2 linked regions of the Elephas maximus indicus genome follow. The protein of the gene in region 1 interacts with the protein of each later gene in a biochemical or structural test. Links are inferred from orthologs where the notes say so. Each region holds a gene or a part of one and is shown on either strand. Other genes may lie near its edges. The genes, in order: NFKB2 and BCL3.

The links.
Region 2: the proteins of NFKB2 (region 1) and BCL3 form a complex in vitro, tested with the Homo sapiens proteins (2 studies listed by BioGRID). The link is inferred for Elephas maximus indicus from reciprocal best matches to the Homo sapiens genes NFKB2 and BCL3.

Annotation. Positions count from the first base shown.
Region 1 is NC_064834.1:53,957,646-53,969,595, reverse strand, and holds the start of NFKB2 (nuclear factor NF-kappa-B p100 subunit), read right to left. Parts: upstream 4,733-11,950; 5' UTR 4,620-4,732; intron 3,510-4,619; exon of another isoform or gene 3,358-3,509; 5' UTR 3,288-3,357; coding exon 3,267-3,287; intron 2,923-3,266; coding exon 2,844-2,922; intron 2,728-2,843; coding exon 2,687-2,727; intron 2,432-2,686; coding exon 2,333-2,431; intron 2,254-2,332; coding exon 2,102-2,253; intron 1,837-2,101; coding exon 1,730-1,836; intron 1,632-1,729; coding exon 1,473-1,631; intron 1,187-1,472; coding exon 1,082-1,186; intron 940-1,081; coding exon 854-939; intron 749-853; coding exon 610-748; intron 384-609; coding exon 255-383; intron 136-254; coding exon 1-135. UniProt on the Homo sapiens protein: NF-kappa-B is a pleiotropic transcription factor present in almost all cell types and is the endpoint of a series of signal transduction events that are initiated by a vast array of stimuli related to many biological processes such as inflammation, immunity, differentiation, cell growth, tumorigenesis and apoptosis.
Region 2 is NC_064829.1:104,955,958-104,967,172, reverse strand, and holds the start of BCL3 (B-cell lymphoma 3 protein), read left to right. Parts: upstream 1-5,532; 5' UTR 5,533-5,727; coding exon 5,728-5,983; intron 5,984-7,710; coding exon 7,711-7,864; intron 7,865-11,215. UniProt on the Homo sapiens protein: Contributes to the regulation of transcriptional activation of NF-kappa-B target genes. In the cytoplasm, inhibits the nuclear translocation of the NF-kappa-B p50 subunit.

The sequences.
Region 1 (11,950 bases):
CCCCAGCATCTACGCCAGGCGCCGAGCCGGCCATCTGGGCCCCGCCCCCGCCTCCCGGGTAGCAGCCCATTGGGGCCGCGCCGGACTGGTAGGGGCTGTAGGCCAAGGAGGAAGGGAAAAAGCCGAGGCTGCCACCTGTGGGTACAGGCAGGGCTGTGGGGAAGGGGCACCAACCAGAGCTCCAGGCTTCTTTCCCCAGCTTCTCTTCATCTCTCCCTCCTCCATCCCTCTTCCCACCACCAGCACTCCCTCACCTCCTCCTCCAGCTCCTCCATAACCTCCAGCAGAGCCTCCAGAGCCTCCACCCATGTGGGAGCCACCCCCGAAGGGCTGGGAGAAGGCGGGCAAGGCCTTCCTCCGCTTCCGCTGCACCTCCTCCTTGTCTGAAAAAAAAAATAAAAGGACAGGGGGAAATGGGATGTTATAACCCAATTCATAGGCCACGTCTCCAGAGCCCTTCCCCAAGCTTGGTTAGGGCTCGTCCCCAAAAAGCCTTCAGCTAGAGCCCTCAGACTGAACTCTCCCCACCCTTAACTTAGCTCATGGGTCCCCTAGTCTAGCTCTTGGAGCCCTCCAGCCCAGCTCCCAGTCCCACTAGCTCAGCTCTACCTTCTACCAGTGGGTAATAGGTGAACTGTTTGGAGTCAGAGACATCCCCCCCACGCTTGCGTTTCAGTTGGAGGAACACGGTGACAGGACGCTCAATCTTCATCTTGTGATAGGGGGGTGTCCGGAACACAATGGCATACTGGGGAAGGGACATACAGGGTGTCAGTGAGGCCTTCGCCTAATTCAGCCCCGTGCCTCAGTCCTGGCCTCCCTGTGTACCCCCCAGTCCTCGCTCCCTGTATACCTGTTTGTGAACATCTGTGGGAGAGAAGTCCCCGAAGGCCTGCCATCCATTCTCGTCATCCTCGTAGAAACGAACCTCAATGTCATCTAAAGAGAAGACTGAAACCTGGCCACAGCTCCAGGTAGAGTCTCCAGGGCTACTTGTCCTGGAGCTACCCTGCCTGCCCGGCCCTGGCCCTCCATCTTGATACCCAGTATCCCAAGCTCCCAGCCTGAGCTCCAGCCTCACCTTTTTGCACCTTGTCACAAAGAAGATAAACTTCGTCTCCACCCCGCACAGAGCCAGCTGTCTTGTCCATTCTCGAAATCTTCAGATTCGAGGCCCCAGGAGACTCTAGGGAACAAAGCAGGGATTAGTTCAGATGATATAATAGCCATGGCCTGTTTAGGGAGCCAGGTGTTTTGTATTCATTAACTGCAAGATGCAGGAATCGCATATCCCCATTTACCAAAAACAGAAAAGACACTCAGAGGGGAGAAATGACTTGTTCAATGTCACTCAGCTCAAACGTGGTTCAGGCCAGGTTGAAACTCAGGTTTATTTGCCTCCATAGCTGGAGGTTGTCCCTATGTTCCCTTGGCCACCTAGGTCCAGGCCCTCAGGCAGTCAGGATACTCACTGCTGTCATGGATGGGGTGGGAGATAACTGGCTTCAGGGGCAAAGAAAAGGAGCCATCACTGGCTCGAAGGAAGGCAGAGAAGCGCAGCCGCACGATACTCAAATCCATCACCTTCTTCAGTTCCTTGGCCTCCTGCTCTAGCTCCCTCCGCTCAGCATCTGGGGAGTGGGCACATGTGTGATCCCTGGGCGTTTCCTCCTTCCTACCCTGCTTCCTTGCTCACCCATGGCCACCTCCCATTACTCCCACCCATTACCAGTGAGGCCTTGGGGCCTGGAGCGGAGTCGTTGCCTCTGAAGTTTCTGTGTCATAATCTCCATCATGTTCTTCTTGGTCACATGCAATACTCCCAAGTTGTTAAACCTGGAGGATGGGGAGGGGAGTCAGAGGCCTTTGCCCATGCAGTTCTTTCCTCCTGAAGCACACTCCCCACTGTCAGGGCTCAGCTTAGCTCAGCTCTACTTCTTCAAGGAAGGTTTCCTCCTTTTTCCCGGAGGCTTCAGGATCTGGGGCCAACCTAAGTCTTTCCTCTTGGTCAGATGCTAAACTCCCAGAGGTGGGTTGGGGCCCAGGACTGGCAGGCAGTGAGGGGGCACACAAGTGGGGGCCAGGGGTAAGGGACACCTACTGGGCAGTCATGTCCTTGGGCCCCACAGACACAGTGCAGACCCCCAGCTCCGAGCATTGCTTGCCCACTAGGCTGTGGGCGTGGGCGCGAGGTGGGTCACTGTGTGTTACCAGGTCCACCTCGATCTTGGCTGGTCCCTCGTAGTTACAGATCTGGGAGGGGCAAGGGCTGTCAGTGATGCTACTGGACATGTTGTCCACTAACCCACCCTCCAGCACCACCTTGGCTCACCTTGACTGTAGGATAGGTCTTCCGGCCTTTCTCGCTGGAGGCACCTGGCAGTCCTCCGTGGGAGGGTCCTTCGCAGCCATAGCGAAATCGGAAGCCTCGCTGAAGGTCCAGGGGCAGAGAAACAGTGTGATCAGGAGAGACCACTCTGGCCAGCCACACTCCTGACCAGCACTGACCATGGTGACCAGCAGTATCTGCCCTAAACCACGATCACACCACTGTGATCAGCAGTGGTCAACCATCCCAATCTTCAGTGGCCTCCCTGGGCAGTGATCTCACATGGCTACACAACTACAACTACTCACTCTCTTGCAAGGCTGCAGCCATCCCGCACCATACCCTCGGGTCACTCACCTGCTTAGGCTGCTCCACGATCACCAGGTAGGGGCCATCAGCTGGGGACAGAGGGACCTTCTGAGCCAGGCTCCATGAGCCCCTCCCCCAGGCAGAGGGCACATGGTCCTCTTTCCCTACTCCCTCTCCGACTAGGGCGGTTAGGGAGCCTGCTAACCTGTCTCTGGGGCCGGCTCCTTGGGCTCCACAATGGCAGGGTTGAATTTGAAATCATATTCCATGATGCCATCCAGAGCCTAGTTTGGAGAGATGGGGGGGAGGGGCGGCCGATTCAGAGCTTCCCCGGAGCCCTTCTCCTCCTGGCTCTAAACCCTCTCTCTAGACCCATAAGAACGCGCCTTTGGAAGCAGAATTTGCAGACAGGCAGGCAGAGGATGGCCTGGAGGGGCATTAGGGTAGGCACTCTGAGATCTGGGAGCAGGACAGATGGAGGAGGCGGCAGATAGATGCCTGGCAGGTTGAGATCAGCGCAGAGGCAGACAGACAGCTGCAGGGGAGAGACGGGGTTCCGGCAACACGCAAGCAGACAGGGAGGTAGGGAGGTAGCCGGCCAGCGTCCGGGCCAGGCGGCGTGACTCACTGGGTCGTAGCAACTGTCCATGTCTCTGGGCTGGGCCCGGCTCTGTCTATAGCTTCAGCCGGGTTCTGCTTCCTAGAGTTTCAGGTGCTCGCTTTGGGGGCAGGGGAACGGCGGGAGAGCTGGATCAGGCCAGGGGTGGGCGGGAGAGGGGGGTCCCAGGTTTGGGGGAGGGTCCGATCTCCTCCAGCCGCCCGTCCGAGTGCGGCGGGCGAGATCCGGTGGAGGGCGAGATCCGAAGCTGGGCTAGGCCGGGGAAGGGGCAGGAAAGTTAGAGCAGCTTAGGAAAGTCCCGAAAATACCAGGGGGAGGCGGGGCCGGAGGGGGCGGGCCTGGAAATGACGCCACTGGCCCCGCCCCCGCGGCGGGAGGGGCGCGAGGCCCCGGCCCCGCTGTTGGGACCCGCAGCCTCTCACCCGGCTGGGGGTGTGGAGAGCCAGGGAAGCCCTCCAGGGCAGGCGCCAGGGACCTGAGGGTCTTTCACGGCCGGCGGAGGCTCCCAGTCCGCGACCAGGCCCGCCTCCCATCCCCCTCCCCTCCCACGGCCTGGAGCAGCAGCCTTGGGATTTTCTGCCAGGAGGGAGGCCACGGCTGATTCACCCTGGGGGCTTTTGGGGGACATTCCTGCTGTAGGGAGGACCCCACTCTGAATGGTCTGTAGGCGGGGTTCTTCCCAGCGGGGGGCCCCGGGGTTCTGCCCTGAGAGTGGAACTCTGGGGACCGCAGCGGGAGGCGTCTTCTCCTTGGGGACAGGCTCCCCTTCCCTCTCCCCGAAACGTCTCAACGGCTGTTGATTCTCACACCGCACTGGCTCTGGGTGCTGAGGAGACGGGCAGACCCCTGCACTCTTCCCACCCCAATCCCACAGGTGTGGGTCTCCATCACAGGTATACAAGTGTGTTTTGGCCCGTGTGCTCGGGTGCATGCTGTGTGTGCACGGCGTCAATATGCGTGTGCAAGTGAATGTGTCTGTGGGCAGGTAAGCGTCCCTAAGCTTCTCTGAGTGGGCACATGACTAAGCATGTCTTGCTATGTCGGCACAGGTGAGCAGATCTCTGAGCTTGTGCGTGGAGGGCGTGGGTCCCAGCAACGGTGCAAGGGTGAGCGGGTCTGCCTGTGCATGTGTGTGCGAGTCCCGGTGCATGGACGCTGCTTGCGTACGCCAGCATTAGAGCAGGTGAATGTTCAGGTCCGCGTGTCTCCGTACAAGGATGTGGCTGTATATCCGTGTGTCTCGTTCGTGTGTCTGCTCTGGGTGTGCGCCTATCTCTAGCCCTGGGGCTCAGTCAGTTAAAGGCCCTCCTCCCGCCTTTCCTCGGGTCCGGGCCACCCAAGGGTGTGAACTCGGTCACTCACAGAGGCGGCGGCTCCGGTTCCTGCTCCTCTCCCGGCCCGACCCGCCGCGGACGGGTCGTGACACCGCTCCAGCCACCAGGGCTCCAGCCACCGGGGTTCCAGCCGGGAAAGCCCCTTTTCCGCCCCCCGGAGGGGGGAATTCCCATGACGTTTCTGTACGTCACGCACCATGCCCTTTTTCATTGGCCGAAAGTTTAACACCCGGACTCTCGCGTCCAATCGGGAGCGATTCAGGAGCGCCCTCTAGAGGGCGAAGATTGACGTTGGGCTGGGAGAATGGCGTGGTATTGACGGTCCGCAAGACTGGGCTCTGGTCGGGGATTAGCCCGAGGCCGGACCGGTTGGCCGAGCACCAGCCACAGCTCCAACACCGGCCAAGGGCCGGCCCGGGTCCCCTCGCCCGCCCGGACCTGCCCGGGCTTCTGTTGTGCCTAACGCTTGACCACATCTGAAGCCGGGGAAGCCCAGGGGGAAGCCGTCGGCCTCAGCTCTCCAGTCTCCCGCCCGGAGCGGGACCCCGCTGCCGGGAAGAGTTAGGGGAAGAGGAAAAAGCTGATCTTGCGGTCGGTCCCGGGGCGCCATCTGGCGGCCCCTTTAGGCACCGGAGCCTCAAGGAGACTAACCTTTCTTGCTCAGTCTCTTTACTCAGCCTCCGGCTCTTTTGGCCCCTTACTAAGTGGCAGGTTCACATGGGGCCAGGCTTTCAGGGCGACCTGAGCTATGGAGCTCTGCGCGCAGGAAGGAGAATATTTTTTGGGAGATTCAGGACTCGCCCTCCCATCACAATCTGGAATATTAGGATTGAAGAGGTGTCCAAAGTGTCAATAACTTGAACTTCTTCTGAGGGAGGAAATCACCTTATATACGTCCCAACTTCTGCTTGAACACCGTAGTAGCAGCAGGGACAGTACAGTATTTCCCAAAGCACTGACTTTGTAGCTGGACATCTCTGGTTGGTAGAGGCTCTCTTTCGGAGGCGCCCTGAGTAATCTCCCTCCTGAAGTCATCCTTTCAGGTTTCTCCTGCAACTTGCTGCTGACCTTCTTAAGGAACTGAGGGCCTGCACTAGCACTGAATAAAGGGAGGCTCTTATGGCCCTTGGTTTGGGCCATTTCCTGTTATTTGTCTCTCCTCTTCGTCTTGTCCACAAATGGAATGTGCCAGGTACTGTGTTAAGGTACTTTATTATAAGTTCTTATTCTTCTTCCCAACAACTCTAGGAGGTAAATATTACCTTTACTGATGGAAAAAATGAAGGCTCAGAGAAGTAAACTCAACCACACAGGTAGAAAGGAACAGAGCCAGGATACAAACCCAGTTTGTTGACTCCAGGCCCAAGTTCTTTCCCCTAAATACATATAAAACAAAGCAGTCTTTTCCACCCTACTATAGGGTTGTTATGAGTCGGAATTGACTCCACGGCAATGGGTTTTTTTGGTTTGGTGGGCCTCTCTAAGAGGAGCCCTGGTGGTGCAGTGGTTAAGAGCTTGGCTGCTAACCAAAAGGTGAGCAGTTTGAATCAACCAACCACTCCCTGGAAACGCTATGGGACAGTTCTACTCTGTCCTATAGGGTCACTATGAGTCAGCAGCAACAGGTTTGGTTTGGTTTTTGGTGGTCCTCTCAGTGGACGAAAGATGTGGCAGTCCGCTTCTGTAAAGATTTACAGCCTTGGAAACCCTATGGGGAAGTTCTACTCTGTCCTACAGGATCACTATGAGTCGGAACGGACTTGATGGCAGTGGATTTGGTTTTTGGTTTGGTGGGCCTCTCAAGCAAGTATCATAAGATGCTGTCAAATAATTTGGTAAAATCCAGGTACATTGTCTACCAAATTCTCCTGGCAATTTATATTCTTAACTCTTATACTAAAATGGAATGAGGTTAGGTTGGTATATGCCTACTTCGTGAACCTGTGCTGGCTGCCATTGATACAACCATCCTTTCAAAGTGCTCAAATACCACCTGCAGAAATGGGCACAAATCCTTCCAGTCCCACATCTCTAAAAGCGCTCCTAAGGTCTGAGTGGTTTTAGTTACAAGATTCTGAGCTGTAATTTATCTGGAGATTAAAAAAAAAAAAAAAAAAAGACTTTATTATAGAACTTTTCTAACATATAAAAAGTACAGAGAATAGTATAATGAACCCCCATGTACCCATCAGCAGCTCCAATAATTCTCAACCCATGTAGACGTAGGGATTTTAATAACTCAAAGTAGTTTATTATCTGTTGCTATAGCCTCACCTAAATGGACTTAAGAAACTGCTTCATTATGTTTGTTCCACAATCTTCAACATAAAAATCATCTCTGTTTCTGCACTCAGCTCTAGCACAACACCTGGCCCAGAGCAGATGCACCATAAATTCACTCTATTCATTCACCATCAGATAGGGCCCACCCTACAAAACAACATCCCTGCTTACAGAGAGCTTGCATTCTAGTAGGGGAGACAGACAAAAATCAAATAGATGTGTGCTGGTGACAGGTACTACGGAGAAAAATAAAGCAGGTAAGGGGATAGCGACAAGGGTTTTCTATACAGCAGCCAGGGAAAGACTCTCTGATGAGGTAACATTTGAACAGGAACTTGAAACAAGTGAGGGAGGCCGCCGTGTGGATATCTGGGGGAAGGGCAGGCCGCCGTGTGGGTATCTGGGGGAAGGGCAGGCCGCCGTGTGGGTATCTGGGGGAAGGGCAGGCCGCCGTGTGGGTATCTGGGGGAAGGGCAGGCCGCCGTGTGGGTATCTGGGGGAAGGGCAGGCCGCCGTGTGGGTATCTGGGGGAAGGGCAGGCCGCCGTGTGGGTATCTGGGGGAAGGGCAGGCCGCCGTGTGGGTATCTGGGGGAAGGGCAGGCCGCCGTGTGGGTATCTGGGGGAAGGGCAGGCCGCCGTGTGGGTATCTGGGGGAAGGGCAGGCCGCCGTGTGGGTATCTGGGGGAAGGGCAGGCCGCCGTGTGGGTATCTGGGGGAAGGGCAGGCCGCCGTGTGGATTTCTGGGGGAAGGGCAGGCCGCCGTGTGGGTATCTGGGGGAAGGGCAGGCCGCCGTGTGGGTATCTGGGGGAAGGGCAGGCCGCCGTGTGGGTATCTGGGGGAAGGGCAGGCCGCCGTGTGGATTTCTGGGGGAAGGGCAGGCCGCCGTGTGGATATCTGGGGGAAGGGCAGGCCGCCGTGTGGATTTCTGGGGGAAGGGCAGGCCGCCGTGTGGGTATCTGGGGGAAGGGCAGGCCGCCGTGTGGATATCTGGGGGAAGGGCAGGCCGCCGTGTGGATTTCTGGGGGAAGGGCAGGCCGCCGTGTGGATATCTGGGGGAAGGGCAGGCCGCCGTGTGGATATCTGGGGGAAGGGCAGGCCGCCGTGTGGATATCTGGGGGAAGGGCAGGCCGCCGTGTGGATTTCTGGGGGAAGGGCAGGCCGCCGTGTGGGTATCTGGGGGAAGGGCAGGCCGCCGTGTGGGTATCTGGGGGAAGGGCAGGCCGCCGTGTGGGTATCTGGGGGAAGGGCAGGCCGCCGTGTGGGTATCTGGGGGAAGGGCAGGCCGCCGTGTGGGTATCTGGGGGAAGGGCAGGCCGCCGTGTGGGTATCTGGGGGAAGGGCAGGCCGCCGTGTGGGTATCTGGGGGAAGGGCAGGCCGCCGTGTGGGTATCTGGGGGAAGGGCAGGCCGCCGTGTGGGTATCTGGGGGAAGGGCAGGCCGCCGTGTGGGTATCTGGGGGAAGGGCAGGCCGCCGTGTGGGTATCTGGGGGAAGGGCAGGCCGCCGTGTGGGTATCTGGGGGAAGGGCAGGCCGCCGTGTGGGTATCTGGGGGAAGGGCAGGCCGCCGTGTGGGTATCTGGGGGAAGGGCAGGCCGCCGTGTGGGTATCTGGGGGAAGGGCAGGCCGCCGTGTGGATTTCTGGGGGAAGGGCAGGCCGCCGTGTGGGTATCTGGGGGAAGGGCAGGCCGCCGTGTGGGTATCTGGGGGAAGGGCAGGCCGCCGTGTGGGTATCTGGGGGAAGGGCAGGCCGCCGTGTGGGTATCTGGGGGAAGGGCAGGCCGCCGTGTGGGTATCTGGGGGAAGGGCAGGCCGCCGTGTGGGTATCTGGGGGAAGGGCAGGCCGCCGTGTGGGTATCTGGGGGAAGGGCAGGCCGCCGTGTGGGTATCTGGGGGAAGGGCAGGCCGCCGTGTGGATATCTGGGGGAAGGGCAGGCCGCCGTGTGGGTATCTGGGGGAAGGGCAGGCCGCCGTGTGGGTATCTGGGGGAAGGGCAGGCCGCCGTGTGGATATCTGGGGGAAGGGCAGGCCGCCGTGTGGGTATCTGGGGGAAGGGCAGGCCGCCGTGTGGGTATCTGGGGGAAGGGCAGGCCGCCGTGTGGATATCTGGGGGAAGGGCATTCTAGGTGATGGAACAGCAACTGCAATAGTCTGATATGAATGTGTTTGGCTTATTTGAGGAACAGCAAGGAGGTCAGGTAGGTGGAATGAAGTAAATGTTTTATTCTGAATGAGACGGAATGCTATTGGAGGGTTTTGTACAGTGGCGTGAAAATGATGTGACATGTTTTAAAAGGCTTCGTTTGGCTGCCGTGTGGAGAGTAGAGTGTAGAGGACTAGGATGACCAAGGGAGACCAGGAGTTCAAAAAATAGTGGCTTGGATGGTGAGAGTGGTGAGAAGTGGTCAGACGCTGAACAGATTCGAAAGATGGAAACAACAAGCGTTGCTGAGGGTTTGGATGTAGGATGTAAAAAAAAGAGGGGAGGTTTTGGCAGAAGAATCGGGAAGAATGGAATTGCACTTTCCTGGTACAGGGCAGAACAGAAGAGGAAGAGACTTGTAGGGGTAATCAAGAATTTTTCTCTTTACATTTGTTATATTTGAGATGCCCATGAGGCATGCAAATGGGGATGTTGAGGGACGAGTGGATATGAGTCTGGGGTTGAGAGGAGTCAGGCTGGAGATGCAAAGTTGGGAATTGGATATAATCAGGGTAATGGATAGTATTCAGAGCCTCGGCAGTGGATGGGATCACCGAGAGAGTGAGCATAGAGGATTTGAGGACTGAGTCCTGGGCCATTCTCATGTTCAGAGGTCATGAACAGAGCCAACATGGGAAATCGAAAAGGCGTGGTCAGTGAGGTAGAAAAAAACGAGTTTCTCAGAAGCCAAATGAAGAATATTTCAAGGAGGGAGTGATCAACTGTTTACTTGAACTAAAGCTACTTCTCCACAAGTGGAGCCCAGGGGTTGAGGGGTTCTGCTTCCTCATGGAGACTTGTCTCCCAAGCAGTGAGCCCTGAACAAAGGTAAATATCCACAGGCTCTAATAACCACATTTTTTGTTGTTGTTTTTTTTTTTGGATGGGCATATGCCCACTGTGGCTCATTCTTATGGGCTAAAAAAATTCACGTTTATTCTTGGTTATGTGCACCTCTTTCCAATTTTCATAGACTACTAAACTGAGCTTAGTAGGCAATAGTCTGTACAGCCAGTGGTTTCTTCAGAGCCCCAACCCTTATATTTCTCATTAGAAGCTACAGAAAATGTAACTCAGAGGGTTTCTGCACCACCACCACCATTATTTTTGAACTGAGGAAATGTTATAAGAAAGACTGTGATGTTTGGAGTGAGAGAGACCTGGGTTTGAGACCCAACTCCCTCAATTCCCAGTGACCTGACCTCTCTGAACTTGTTTCCTCATCTGTAAGAAAAGTAAGTACCTTTAAAGGTTGCTTGAGCATTGCACTTAATACTGAGACATAATGGTGCTCTACAAATGTCAATTCTCCATGTGAGGGTCTTAGGTCATGGAGCCATCTCTAGCTTTCCTCTTGACTTTCTGACACCTGGTCTCCTCAAGTTCTCAGGGGAGACAGATGTGATTATGATCAGCATTTCCCTCTAGCTACACTTATCACTTTCCCTCAAGGTTTCCGTCAGTTCCATGTCACCAAGCCATTCTTCCTTGTCGGTCAGGTCAGAATTAAGGTCTGAGTATTAGTTCCTCTTGTAGCTTCCTCTGACTTCTAAGAGACAACACTGTCAACAACACAAGTCATGCATGTGTCAGCTGCTCTTTTTGTAACAGAAGGAGACTTCCGGCAAATGTTTTTCTTTGCTACCCAGAGGAGAGAGGGTCAGTTTGCAATCTCTCTAGCTTCTTTCCTAATTTTTGCAGACCAGCTGAGGGACATAGGCTTGTCGTATTCTTTTGTTCATAGCTTGGCTGCAGCCAACGCTGTTTTCCTCAGAGGGAAACCCCCCTGGAAGCGTCTAAAGGCAGAGCCTGTGGGGCTCTGGACAGAGACACTACAGCTGAGGCCAAGGACTCTAGTGTCTACGTGGCTGTAGATCACAGCCCCTAGCTCTACCCCCTGCCCCTAGCCTTATCCCCTGTTCCTCCTAATTTTTCCCAGGGTCGGGGTCAGGCAAGGGTTCTGGTTAGTGTGGAAACTGAGCATGGTCTGGACTACTTGGGGAAGAAGGGAGGGAAGAGGGAGAATGTAGTCTAGGAGCTTTAGGTCTCATCTCTTAGTATTTTTTCCACATCAGGCTGCTCCTATTTCCATGGGGCCCTTTTCCACCCCTGAGGGAGGTGCTTTCAGGCATCCAAATTCCCAGGAACACCCACATGGAAGTGCTGATCAAAGAGAAGCCTTAGGTTCTGAATGATCATACAGCCAGTTGGGCCCCAGTGGGGAGACTGAGTGCCCCTAAATCTCCACGAGGGAAGCCAGCTGGTAGTACAAAGAGGGTACCATTGCCCACCCCCTGAGAGGGGGAAGCCAAGATGATGCTTCATGTGTGAAGGCTTAATACAAAACATTCTGCTTCCCAACCACAGCACCTCAGCCCTGCCCACTCCTCGCAGGGGCCACACTGCCTGCCCTACGTACACCCCTACCTATCTTACCCTCACCCACAGGGAAAGAAGGGGAGGAGCCCTCTAATCATGTATCATCTCAGTAATTGGAATGGATGAGGGTTATGGGGCTGGAAGAAATTGTTCCTTCTCTGAGGCTAAAATGAATGTCTTACGCCCAGAAGCACACAATCACAGCTGTGAGCAAGATGGTCCCCACTCCTAAGCCCCATGGGCTTCTTTGTATACCTGGACCATGAGACACACTGCAGGGAAAGCTTCTAAGTAACTGCAGCTCAGCTCTGACTCATCTTCCCTCTGACCCCAGCCCAGGTTGTCTTGGGTGTCTCCCTTGAGCAGTTATGGCGAGGACACTGCCCAAGCCCCTGGCACCCTGGTAATAAGGGTACACTGCTGTGGTGGTGGTAGGGGTGGCAGCACTGATGAAGGCCTCCTGATGCCAGTCCTGACATCTGGCTGGCTGACTGA
Region 2 (11,215 bases), on another chromosome or scaffold:
AGGTGTGTCAGAGTAGAACTGTGCTCCATAGGGTCTTCTTTTCCTTTCTTACTTTTTTTTTTTGACACTTAAAAATGTTTATTATTTCACTTAAAATACCAACAATACACACATTACATGTTAAAATAAATTAACATTTTTTTCTTGAGGAGTAATTATTTTCCAAAACTAAAAAAATAAACTAGTAGTAAGAGTGCCATTGTTTTACACTTTTACAAGTCTTTCTAAAGTCTGGCTTAACAGAGTACAGAAGGACTCTCTAATTGGCTGCTGCATTCAGTCTGTTACAATATGTTGTTTTGCTTTTCATGAAGTTCGCAGTGGCTGATTTTTTAGACGTAGATCACCAGGCCCTTCTTCTAAGGCACCTCTGGGAGGACTCGCACCTCCTAACTTTCATTTAGAATTAGAGCTGGGGAGAAGTTTCCTGAATACAACCAAACACTTTGAGGGACAGAGTAGCCAGGGCAGAGGTCTGGGGACTGTGGTTTCAGGGGACATCTAGGTCAACTGGCATAACAAAGGGTATTAAGACAACGTTCTGCATCCCACTTTGGTGAGTGGCATCTGGGGTCTTAAAAGCTAGCAAGTGGCCATCTAAGATGCATCAATTTGTCCCAGTTCACCTGGAGCAAAGGAGAATGAAGAACACCAAATACACAAGGAAAATATGAGCCCAAGAGACAGAAAGGGCCACATAAGCCAGACTCCATCAGCCTGAGACCAGAAGAACTAGATGGTGCTACCAATGACTGCCTTGACAGGGAACACAACAGGGAATCCCTGATGGAGCAAGAGAAAAGTGGGATGCAGACCTCAAATTCTAGTAAAAAGACCAGACTTAATGGTCTGCCTGGGACTGGAGGGACCCCAGAGGTCATGATCCCCAGACTCTCCGTTAGTCCAACATTGAAACCATTCCCAAAGCCAGCTCCTCAGACAAAGATTAGACTGGATTGTAATCCATAATATGATACTGGTGAGGAGTGTGCTTCTTAGCTCAAGTAGACACATGAGACTATGTGGGCAGCTCCTGTCTGGAGATGAGATGAGAAAGCAGAGGGGACAGGAGCTGGTAAATGGACACAGGAAATACAAGGTGGAGAGGAGTGAGCTGTCACATTGTAGGAGAGCAACTAGGGTCATATAACAATGTGTGTGTAAGTTTTTATATGACAGACTGACTTGAATTGTAAACTTTCACTTAAAAGCATAATCTAAAAAAAAAAAATTAGGGTTACACAGGCCTGGCTTCAAATCTCGGCTTTTCCAGTTCCTCACTGTGTGACCCTGGGCAATGATTTCACTTCTCTGTGCCTCAGTCCCCCTTTCTGCAAATGAGATTTTAGGGAATTATAGGTGAATTAATTCTCAAGGTGTTGAGAGGAGCCAGTAAGCCTAGCTCAGCCCACCCATGGTTAATGGACCCTTCTTGTCTCATCTCTGGGTGGGAAAGGGTGACAAGGAAGCCCTGGCCTGATGGATAAGGTGAGGATTAAGGAGGTGGTATGGAGACAGGAATGAACACGATTCATTCAGTCAGTCAGTCCACAAAATTCTCAACCTGCTCAGCAACCCCGTGAGGCATGAGCTGTTGTCACCAACTATTCAAGGCACAAGGAAGGCACAGACAGGGGAAGCCACCTGCCCAAGGTCACATAGCCAGCGTATGGCAGAGCCAAAACCAAACCAAACCCATTGCCATCAAGTCAATTCCAATTCATAGTGACTGTATAGGACAGGGTAGAACTTTCCCAGTAGGGTTCCCAAGGCTATCACCTTTACAGAAGCAGACTGCCACATCTTTCTCCCATGGAGCTGCTAGTGGGTTCGAACACATGGACCTTTCGGTTAGTAGCCAAGTGCTTAACCATTGCACCATCAGGGCTCCTAGGAAGCAACTGAGCCAGGGCTGAAATCCAAGTCTCTAAACCTAGCATGGTGAATCCCAATTTCCCTAATGAAATGGGTCCTGCTGCTGAAAACATGGGTTAACTGATAACAATGATAATAATAACCATAGCAATACTAGCAGCTACACTGCACTGAACACTTTCTACACATCAGGCCCTGGAGGACAAAAGCATATTTTCTCAGTTTGGTCCATTTTATAGATGAGGAAGCTGAGGCTCCATGAGTTTAAACAACTGCCTGGAAATCACAAAGCACTGACAGAAGGAGGCACGGCTTGTACCTAGTTCTCAGTTTGAAGCAAGGCAGGACAAGACCCAGGAATTGAGCCGGATGGGAACTTAGGGTCTGATCAGCTCTACTTTCTCCTCTTAGAAGGGGAAACTGAGGTCAGAGGACAAGAAAGCCCCAGGCCCATAGGCTTCTAGACAGGACTTTATTACCCTCTCAGGATTTTAATCAGGTAAGATCTTGGCCTTTCCTTCCCCAGGAAGGGTTAGAGTAGGAGGAGGGGAGAAGAGGCAGTAGGGCGGAGGAGAAGACAGAAACAGGTACAAGGGGAAGCCTGCGTGAGGGAAAGTGGTTAGATTCCAAGCAGACTTCCGGGTCTTTTCTGGGAAGTTTCCGGGACTCATCCAGGGGCTGCCCCAGCCAGCAGGGGAGGTGGGGGCTCCAGAGCATGAAGCCCAGAGAGGGGTGCAAGGAGTGAGGGGGGAAAAGAGGGGGTGACCATCCTGGTTCTGCATCCTCCATTCCCGACACTGGCAGGAGGTGGCTGTGGAAGCTGGGACTTTCCTGAGCAGCAGAAGATTCTGGGAAATTAGACAGTTGCAGGGCGGGGCTGACTCCCAGTCTCCCTTCCCTTCCCTTCCCTCCCCTTGGTCCCTGCCGGTTCTCCAGGCACACCTCTCTTTCCCTCTGCCCCAAGGAGGCCCTCCTCAAATTGCTCCTCCTCCCTCAGACCAAGCCCTCAACCCTCAAGCCTTCTCTCTCACACTGCTCCTCCTCCCTCCCTTAGACCTTGTCCCCCTTCCTCAGATCCTCATCTCCTCCCTCAGTCTCTTACCTCCTCCCTCAGACCCTCACCTCTTCCTTCAGACTCTTATCTCCTTCCTCAGACCCTTACCTCTTCTTTCACACCCTCTCCTTCTCCCTGAAGGCCTGTCCTCTCTCAGATGTTCATCTTCTCCCTCAGACTCTCACCTCCTCTCTCAGATTCTCACATCCTTCCTCAGACCCTCTCCCTCAGCCCTGTTCCCCTCCCTCAGAACCACACCTCCATTATACCTTCTCCCCTCCCTCAAACCCTCACTTCCTTCCTCGGACTATCACCTCCACACCACCTCCCTCAAATCTTCACCTCCTTCCTCAGACCGTCTCCCTTAGACCATCTGCCTCTCTCAGACCTGTCTTTCTCCTTCAGGCCCTCCTCCCTCAGACCCTTCTATCCCTCACCCTCTCTATCTCTAACCCTCTGGGCCAAGTGCTGAAACTCCCAACCCCAGTCCTACCTGGGCCCAGGCCCTTTGCACCACCTGCCACAGGGTGCTGGGGAGCAGGAGGAACCTGGGTGTCTTTCTAACCGTAACTCTTAGGGTCACCACCTTCACAAGCTCTGCCTCCCTGAACCTCGGCTTCCCTTTCCGTACAATGAGGCAGTGTCCCACACCACATCCCTCCCGTGTGTTTGAGGATTCCCAGAGGAGAGGACTGGGTGGGCTGGGAAGGTGGGCAGGGGATAGACTTCCCTTGTTGTAGCCCCCACAATACCGGGAGGCAGGGGTTGACGTCAGCCCCATTTTCCAGAAGAAGTTGAGACTCAGGAGAAGGGGTGGACTGTCTGAAGTCACACCTCAGACAGAGAAATAACACCAGACACACCAACAGGCCAGAGACAGAGTGACCAAGGGGGTGAGGGGGTAGTCCGACTTTGTGTCTATGTCTTTGTCTCTGGGTTGCTCTCTCTCCCACTGGGAGGCAATTCCAAGAGGCCCTGGAGTCACTCACTTTCCCCTCCCATTTCCTCTGAGCAAGGAATGAGATGGGATTTGAACCCAGATCTGTGAGCCCAGATGCTTCACCCTATATGCGCTGGGAGGCATATAGAGAGGACAGATCAGGCAAAGGGTGAAGCTTCCCTCTGCCTACATCTGAGCCCACATCCCAGGTTAACCATCCACTGGGGTGAGGCCCGTCCTGGCCAAAGTCCCTTCCCAGCGCCGGGGCCCACACCCACTTTCACGGTCCTAGGGAGATGCTTCCGGGGAGACAGAGACAAGATCAGGCAGAGATGGAGACCCAGACAGTGCCATAGGGTCGCAAAAGACAGAGACAAAAGAGACGTGGGCCGGGCCAGTGACAATGTGAGGGGACAAGGGAGGCCAGGGATAGAGGTACGGGGTTGACAGAACCAGGGAGACCCCGCATGCCGCCTTGGCAGATCCGGGGCGCAGCCCCCATCCCCTGCCCCCCTGGGTCCGCAAGCCCTCCCCCTCTGCCTCCCTGGCCTCATTGACCGGGACTCAACCCCAGCGGCGGCCCCGCCCCCAGGGAAATCCGGGAAAGCCCCGGCCGCCGAGCCCCTCCCCCGGGCGGGGCGAGAGGAGGAAGGGACAGGGAGGGGACAGGAGAGGAGACGAGGAAGGGGCTGCCTCTGTCCCCTCCCTCCCCGGCAGCTCTGGCGGGTCTGAGTCATGCCCCCGACCCGCTCGGCTGGTTCCCCACGAACCAGCCCCTCCCCGGTGGGAGGGGAAAGTGGGGGCACTGAGGGGAGTCAGACTGCCTCTCCCCTCCTGGGCCTAGTCCTTGGTCGCTTTGTCTCTGGCCTACTGGTCTCTTCTTATTTCTCGATCTCTCTCTTCCTCTGTCTTCTTTGATCTCCATGTCTCTCTCTGTGTGCACCTGAGATTCTTCGAGAACACACCCTGTGCCCCCTGGGCCGGGCTAGGTTCAGGGACCCCGCACGGAGGAACACATTTAATGTTTCTCCATGCACCCCACGCCACCCCAGTCACAATTGGTACGTGGGGGCAGGGGAGGGTCAAGGAAGAGTTCCTGAGTGCGTGCTGAGCTCCAGCCCCTGCCCTGGGTGCGCCTTTTCACTCCCACAAAGGAGGAAACGGCTGGGAGAGGGAAGTGCCTGGTCAAGGTCAGCCAGGGAGGAAGTGGGAGTCAAGATTCGAACTTGCGTCCTAGCGACACCAGGGCTTCTTGCAATTGCTTTCCAGGGGGAGACAGAGACAGAGATAAAAACCGAGAGGCAGTTTTTTTTTTTTTTTAGCGAGATAGTACGCGACACAAAGGGACTATAGAGAGAGATAGAGATACAAAAAAAAAAGTGACAGACTGAGACTCTGAGACACCTATTAACAGGGAAGAGAATCATTGACAGAGACTCGGAGAGGCCGAGATATAGAGACATAGCCAGAGAGACAAAAACACAGAGCCAGACATTGAGAGGCCCGCAGCCGCAGGGCTGGGGGTACCTTCTAACCCCAGCCTCCTGCGAGGCGGAGTCGCCGGGACGCCGGGGCCGAGAGGGGGCGGGCGCGGGGCGCGGCGAGGGCGGGGCGCGCGGCGGCTGCACCGCGGGGCGGCGGGAGCGCAGCGGGTCCAGGAAACCCCTGGGACGGACGGGTGGCCCCGGGGGGGCCGGGGGCGGGGAGGCGGGCGGCCGGCACCGCCCCGGCCGACAAAAGTCCCTTCAGTTCAGCCGGCGGCAGGGGAAGTCCCGGCGCTCGGAGAAACCAACCCTCCGGTGCCGCCGAGCAGAGCCGCGCTCCGGCCGCCCGTTCGGCCGCCGTCGCCGGCGGCCCCATGCCCCGATGCCCCTCGGGGGCCATGGACGAGGGGCCCGTGGACCTGCGCACCCGGCCCAAGGCCGCTGGACCCCCTGGCGCAGCGCTGCCGCTCCGCAAGCGCCCGCTGCGCGCGCCCTCCCCGGAGCCCGCCGCCCCCCAAGCAGCCGCGGGCCCTGGGGTCCCCCCGGAGTCCCTCTGTTGCGGCCCCGAGGCGCCAGTCGTCCCTGGACCCCCCCACGGCCTGCACCGGCCGGAGGCGCTTTACTACCAGGGTGAGTGGACCCGGCGAATCAGGGCCAGGTGGGGGTTGCACAGGGCGTAGGGTCGTCCCTAGGGCCGTGTGCAGAGCTCAGGACAAGTATATGGAGTCCCGGGGAGCTGGGGGACAGGAGTACAGAACCCAAAGTTCCAGGGACACAGATATGGAGGTCCCAGGGAGCTGGGGGGCAGGGGAGCTGGGGTGGCACAGATATGGGGAGCCAAGGTATAGTGCTTAGCAATACATATATGGGGGTCTCATATGGGGGTCTTGGGGAGTCAGAAGGTAGAGTCTGGGGTCCCAGGGACACAGATAGATATGACGGTCCCATAACTACAAAATCTCAAGAACTCAGATAATCTAAGGTTATGAGGAGTCAGGGCCTGGACCTAAGAAACTTCGGTTCCTGGGATCCAGATATGTGGGGTCAAAAGCAATCTAGGGAACAGAGACTGGGGTTCTAAGGAGGCAGATATTAGAGGTCCTGGGATGTCAAAATTTCAGGTACCCAGATATCAGAAGACATGAGGAATTAGGATAGCTGAGTTTGGGGTTCTGAGTACCCCACTATCTGGGATCCCAGGGATCCAAGGAAACACCGGAATTCCAGGGACCCAGATACTGGAGGTTCAAGGAGCCAGAGGGACAGAGAACCAGGGTTCTGGACACCCAGTTATGTGTGGTCACAAGTGATCAGGGTCCCATCTGGGTCACAAGGGCAGGGTGTGGGTACAGAGGGTTCTTGGAATGGGCGGCAGGACTGAGGAATTCTGGGACTCAAGGATTTAGGGCCAGGATGAGAGATTCAGGGGTCTCCAGAAAAAGGCACCAGAGACCTAAGGCCTGGTATTGGATATGCAGGGACCTGGAAGCTTGGGGGTCCAGGAATGGAGGGTCCCCAAGGATAAGGGAATATCAGAGAAGGTCATGCGCCAATCTCCCCATCCCGTCTGCATTACCCACTGTGCCCATGTCACCATTCCCCAAGTGACCCCAAAAGCTGCAGAGAGCCCAGATTTGCCCCCTCCCCAAACCTTAGCCAAGTTTCTGCACCTTCCACTCCATCAGAGTGCAACAGATAAAGAGGCTCAAGCTGTGCATCAGAAAGCCTGGCACTGCCTCCCCACCCTTTCCCATTCCCTGGGTGTGAACCTGGGCCTCAGTTTTTCCCATCTGTGCAATGGGTGGATGTGGATTAGACTGCTGCCATGGATAAGTCGGAATTGACTTGAAGGCAACAGGTTTGTTTTTTTATGGTCCCTTCCAACCATTGAATCTGGACAGGCTTCTGATGCCACCCCCTCTTACCCTCTGACCCTCTCCTCTCCTCTCCCCAAACCTTCTACACATACACCCCACACTCTTTGCCCAGTTCTCCATCCATTCCTTATCTCTCTTGGCCATAAATTCACTTAGCAAACAGGCCCTGGCGTTTCCCTGCTGGATGATGTTGGGGGATTGGTCCACACCCTTAAGGGATTCTTTTTCTAGCAGGAGATGAGATTCAGTTAAATGACAATGAGGGTGACCAAGACTGGGGGTGTTATGGAAGCCAGAAGGGAGGGATGGGGAAAGGGGGTTTGTCTTGGCCTTGTCCTGGGACTTGAGGACCCAGTATGAGATTGCAGAAAAACTGGAGATGAAAGTCAGACTGCACTGCAAAGCCAAGAGATGGGGAGTGGGTTAAGGGTCTCTGGGCTTGGCCTCACCTACATCTTTTCTCTGTTCCCCACTACCCAGGACCTTTACTACCCCTGTACTCCACCCCAACCATGGGCTCCCCCTTTCCACTGCTAAGCTTGCCTGCCCCCCTGTACCCCATCATGTGCTCAGTGGAACACCCCCTGTCAGCCGACATCGCCATGGCCACCCGTGCAGATGAGGACGGAGACACGTAAGTGACAGTCCCCCACTAATGGAGGGCAGGTAGGGAGGCCAGCCCTCCACCCACCTCACCCACAACACACGGGCACTCAGCTTGGGCTTTTGCATCACCAGGACCTGAGTTAGAATCCCATCTCCACTGCTAGCTGGGTGACCTTGAGCAAGGCCCTTCCCCTCTCTGAGCCTCAGTTTCCTCTAAAAAATGGGTACCCTGACAGCAGTTCCTCCTTAGAACTGTTTTTGGAATCAGAGGCTTCCAATTTTTTTATCACAACTCAAAAGTAAGAAATGCATTTCAGTGATTGATTTATTACATGAATTATACATGTAAAGCTCCTAGCACTGGGCCTGGTATATTGTAAGTGCTCAATGTTGTTAGTTGCCATCGACTTGATTCCAACTCATGTGTGCAGAGCAGAACTGCTCCATTGGATTTTCAAGGCCGTGACCTTTTGGAAGCAGACCACCGGGTCTGTCTTCCAAGTTGCCTCTGGGTGGGTTTGAACCACCAACCTTTTGGCTAGTAGTCAAGCACTTAATGGTTTGTACCACCTGGGGACTCCTTATGTGCTCAATAAGTGTATATTATTATTACTGCTACTTTATATCAAATCCAGCATGCCCATAATACATACCCACAGATACTTGAACTAAAAATTGCACAAAACAAAACAATATTCATCCAAACTCCATAGGATCTACTTTGATGTTTTCTATCCTAGTCTGTTTCATTGTTTTTCTGCTGGCCACAATCCACTAAATTAATTTGAAGACCCCCTAAATTTCACAACCCCCATGCTTTTTCACCTGCAATTGGAAGAAAGTTCCAGCTTTCATGAGTCTGCTGTGCAATCCTGCAGGGAGAATTTAGCCCTATACCATCAATACACTTGACCATCATGATTACTGGTATTCTGTCCACCTAGGTTTGAATCTCAGCTGGCCACTTTCTCACCCCCCTGTGCCTCAGTTTCTCCATTTAAAAAAAAAAAAACCCAGGAACCATAAATGTGTGAGGATCTCTGTGAGGAAGAAATGAGATTATTTCTAGAAACTGCCCATCTGGGAATTGGTTTTGGGGACTGGAAACCACACATAGGCTGAACAGGCCCATTTCTGCAGGATGGAAGACCACCGCTGGTCTACTGGGTGACTTCACCTCCCTGAGCCTCAGTTTCCCTGTCTGGAAATCAGGACTCATAACAGCCCCTCTCGCAATTAGGATTCAGTGCAATGGTGTACACATATGGTGCAGAGAACAGGGCCTGGCAACACAGTAACCACTCAATACGTGGGAGTTGGTGTTGACTGAACAGAGGTCCCAGTAGTCGTGGGTAGTTATGGGCCATCCCTGTGAGGCGAAGCAGGAGAAAGTGTTGGAGATCTAAAGAGCTCAACAAAACCTTGTTCCCCGCCTAGGCTCAGTGCCCCTGGGGGTCATCTTGTATCTGCCCCCAGGGGTGACCTGTTGTGGCCTGTGAAAGCAGTCTCCAGCCCTAGACCCGCGCCCCACCCGCCCTCCCCCCAACGCAAACACTTCTGCCTCAGCTGCCTGTTGGGGGAAATCCCTTCCCGCAGAACTTGACCGCAGCCCAGCTGCTCTGCCTCCCCCCACGTCAGCACCCCGTCACTCACTAGCAACCTTCCCCCTCCTGACTCTCCCTCAAACCTTAACCCCTTCCGCTGGGGCCGAGACTTTACCGGAACGGGCAGCTGTCCCAGCCCCAGACTGCGCCTTGGCCCCACTTAAAGCTTGGGGAGGGGGGCGGCGGGGGAGGAGAGGGCTGGGACCTTGTCTGAGTCCCCCAGTTAGCAATGGTTGGGACGCTGGACTTCTAGGTCTTCAGGGGAACAAGAGTCTCACGGTATCTGAACCCCCCTCCCCCCCCCAGAGGTCAGGGGACATGTTGTGAATCCCAGAGAGCAGAGGTTGGAGTGCTGTACTCCTGGATCCCCAAGGAGGTTAAGGAACATGATGACGAACTCCGAGGGGGCCTAGAGGCAGGGCCCAGTGCAAATGATTGTGTAGGATCCCTTGTTCAAAAAGAATTTCAAGGCAGCTGCAGCAGAGCATTAAAACAAGCGTGGGCCCTTCTAAGCGTGGGGCCCTGTGCAAACTGCACAGATCGCATTCCTGTGAAGGCGGCCCTGCTAGGGGCCTGGAAGTCTGTGACCCCAAAGGGGCAACGATTGGGGCACTGCATTCCTGGGTCCCCAAGGGGACAAGGAACACGGTAGAGGGCAGCTTAGGGACCCAGAGCTCGGAGGGTCCAGGGTCTGTAAGTTCGAGTCCCCAAAGAAGAATTGGGGTGCTGTATTCCTGGCTCTCAAGAGATTTGGGGAATGCCAGGATATGGAGTAGGGAGCCAGTGGGAGTCTGAATCCTGAAGGTTGGGGTGCCAGAGGGGCCCAGGGTTGGAGGATTTGGGTTCTGTCCTCTAGGGAAGCCACATCTCCTTGGCATGGGCTCCTACCCCCTTCCTGGCCCCATTCAGGATGGAAGTTGGGGTGCCGAGGGTGGCCGGGTTAGACCTCGGCGGGACAGGCTTCCCTCCCCCGGGAGCAGGAAGCGGAGCCCCGCCCAACAGACCTGTTACTGGAAGTCCGAGGGCTGGGCCGCCCCTCCCGTCCCCACTTCCTCCAGCCCCGCCCCACCCCCTGCGGCCCGTGCGCGTTTATGGGAACTAGGGCCTGGACGGTTTCTCTGAAATCATTCGCTCCCTCTGCCCTCACTTAACCCCGCCCGCCCCGCGAGGGACCCTGGCCGGGAGTCCTGGGAGGTGTAGGGAGGGGACGGAGCCCTTCACAGGGACCGCCCACCCAGGCCCGGCCCCTCCCCCAACATTTCCCTTTTAAATCTGACTTTCACCAGTCAGGATCCAGTTTCAGCGTTTCACCTGCCATAGTCTTTCCTGGGAGGTGGACGCTAATTGTGGGCTATAACTTAACTTTAAAAAAAACAAAAAAAAAAAAACCATTGCCGTGGAGTCGATTTCGACTCACGGCGACCCCATGTGTTACAGAGTAGAATTGCTCCATAGAGTTTTCTGGGCAGAAGCAGACCGCCAGGCCTTTCTTCAGCACAGTTGGGTGGTTTTGAACTGTCAGCCTGTAGGTTAGCAGTTAAGCGCACCATTTGCACCACCTCAGGGCTGCACTTTATCGAGGAGAAAACAGGTTCGAAGGACCCCATGACTTTGCCCCAGCATTCACAGGTAGGAAGGAAGCTCCATTTGCAACCCTGGCCCACCTACCACCAGAAACCCCCTGGGCTGCAGGATGTCTGAGCCTCCATCAGAATCACCTAGGGAACTGGCTTAAAATGTAGATCCTGGATTTTGCTTTGGACAGTCGTCAGAAC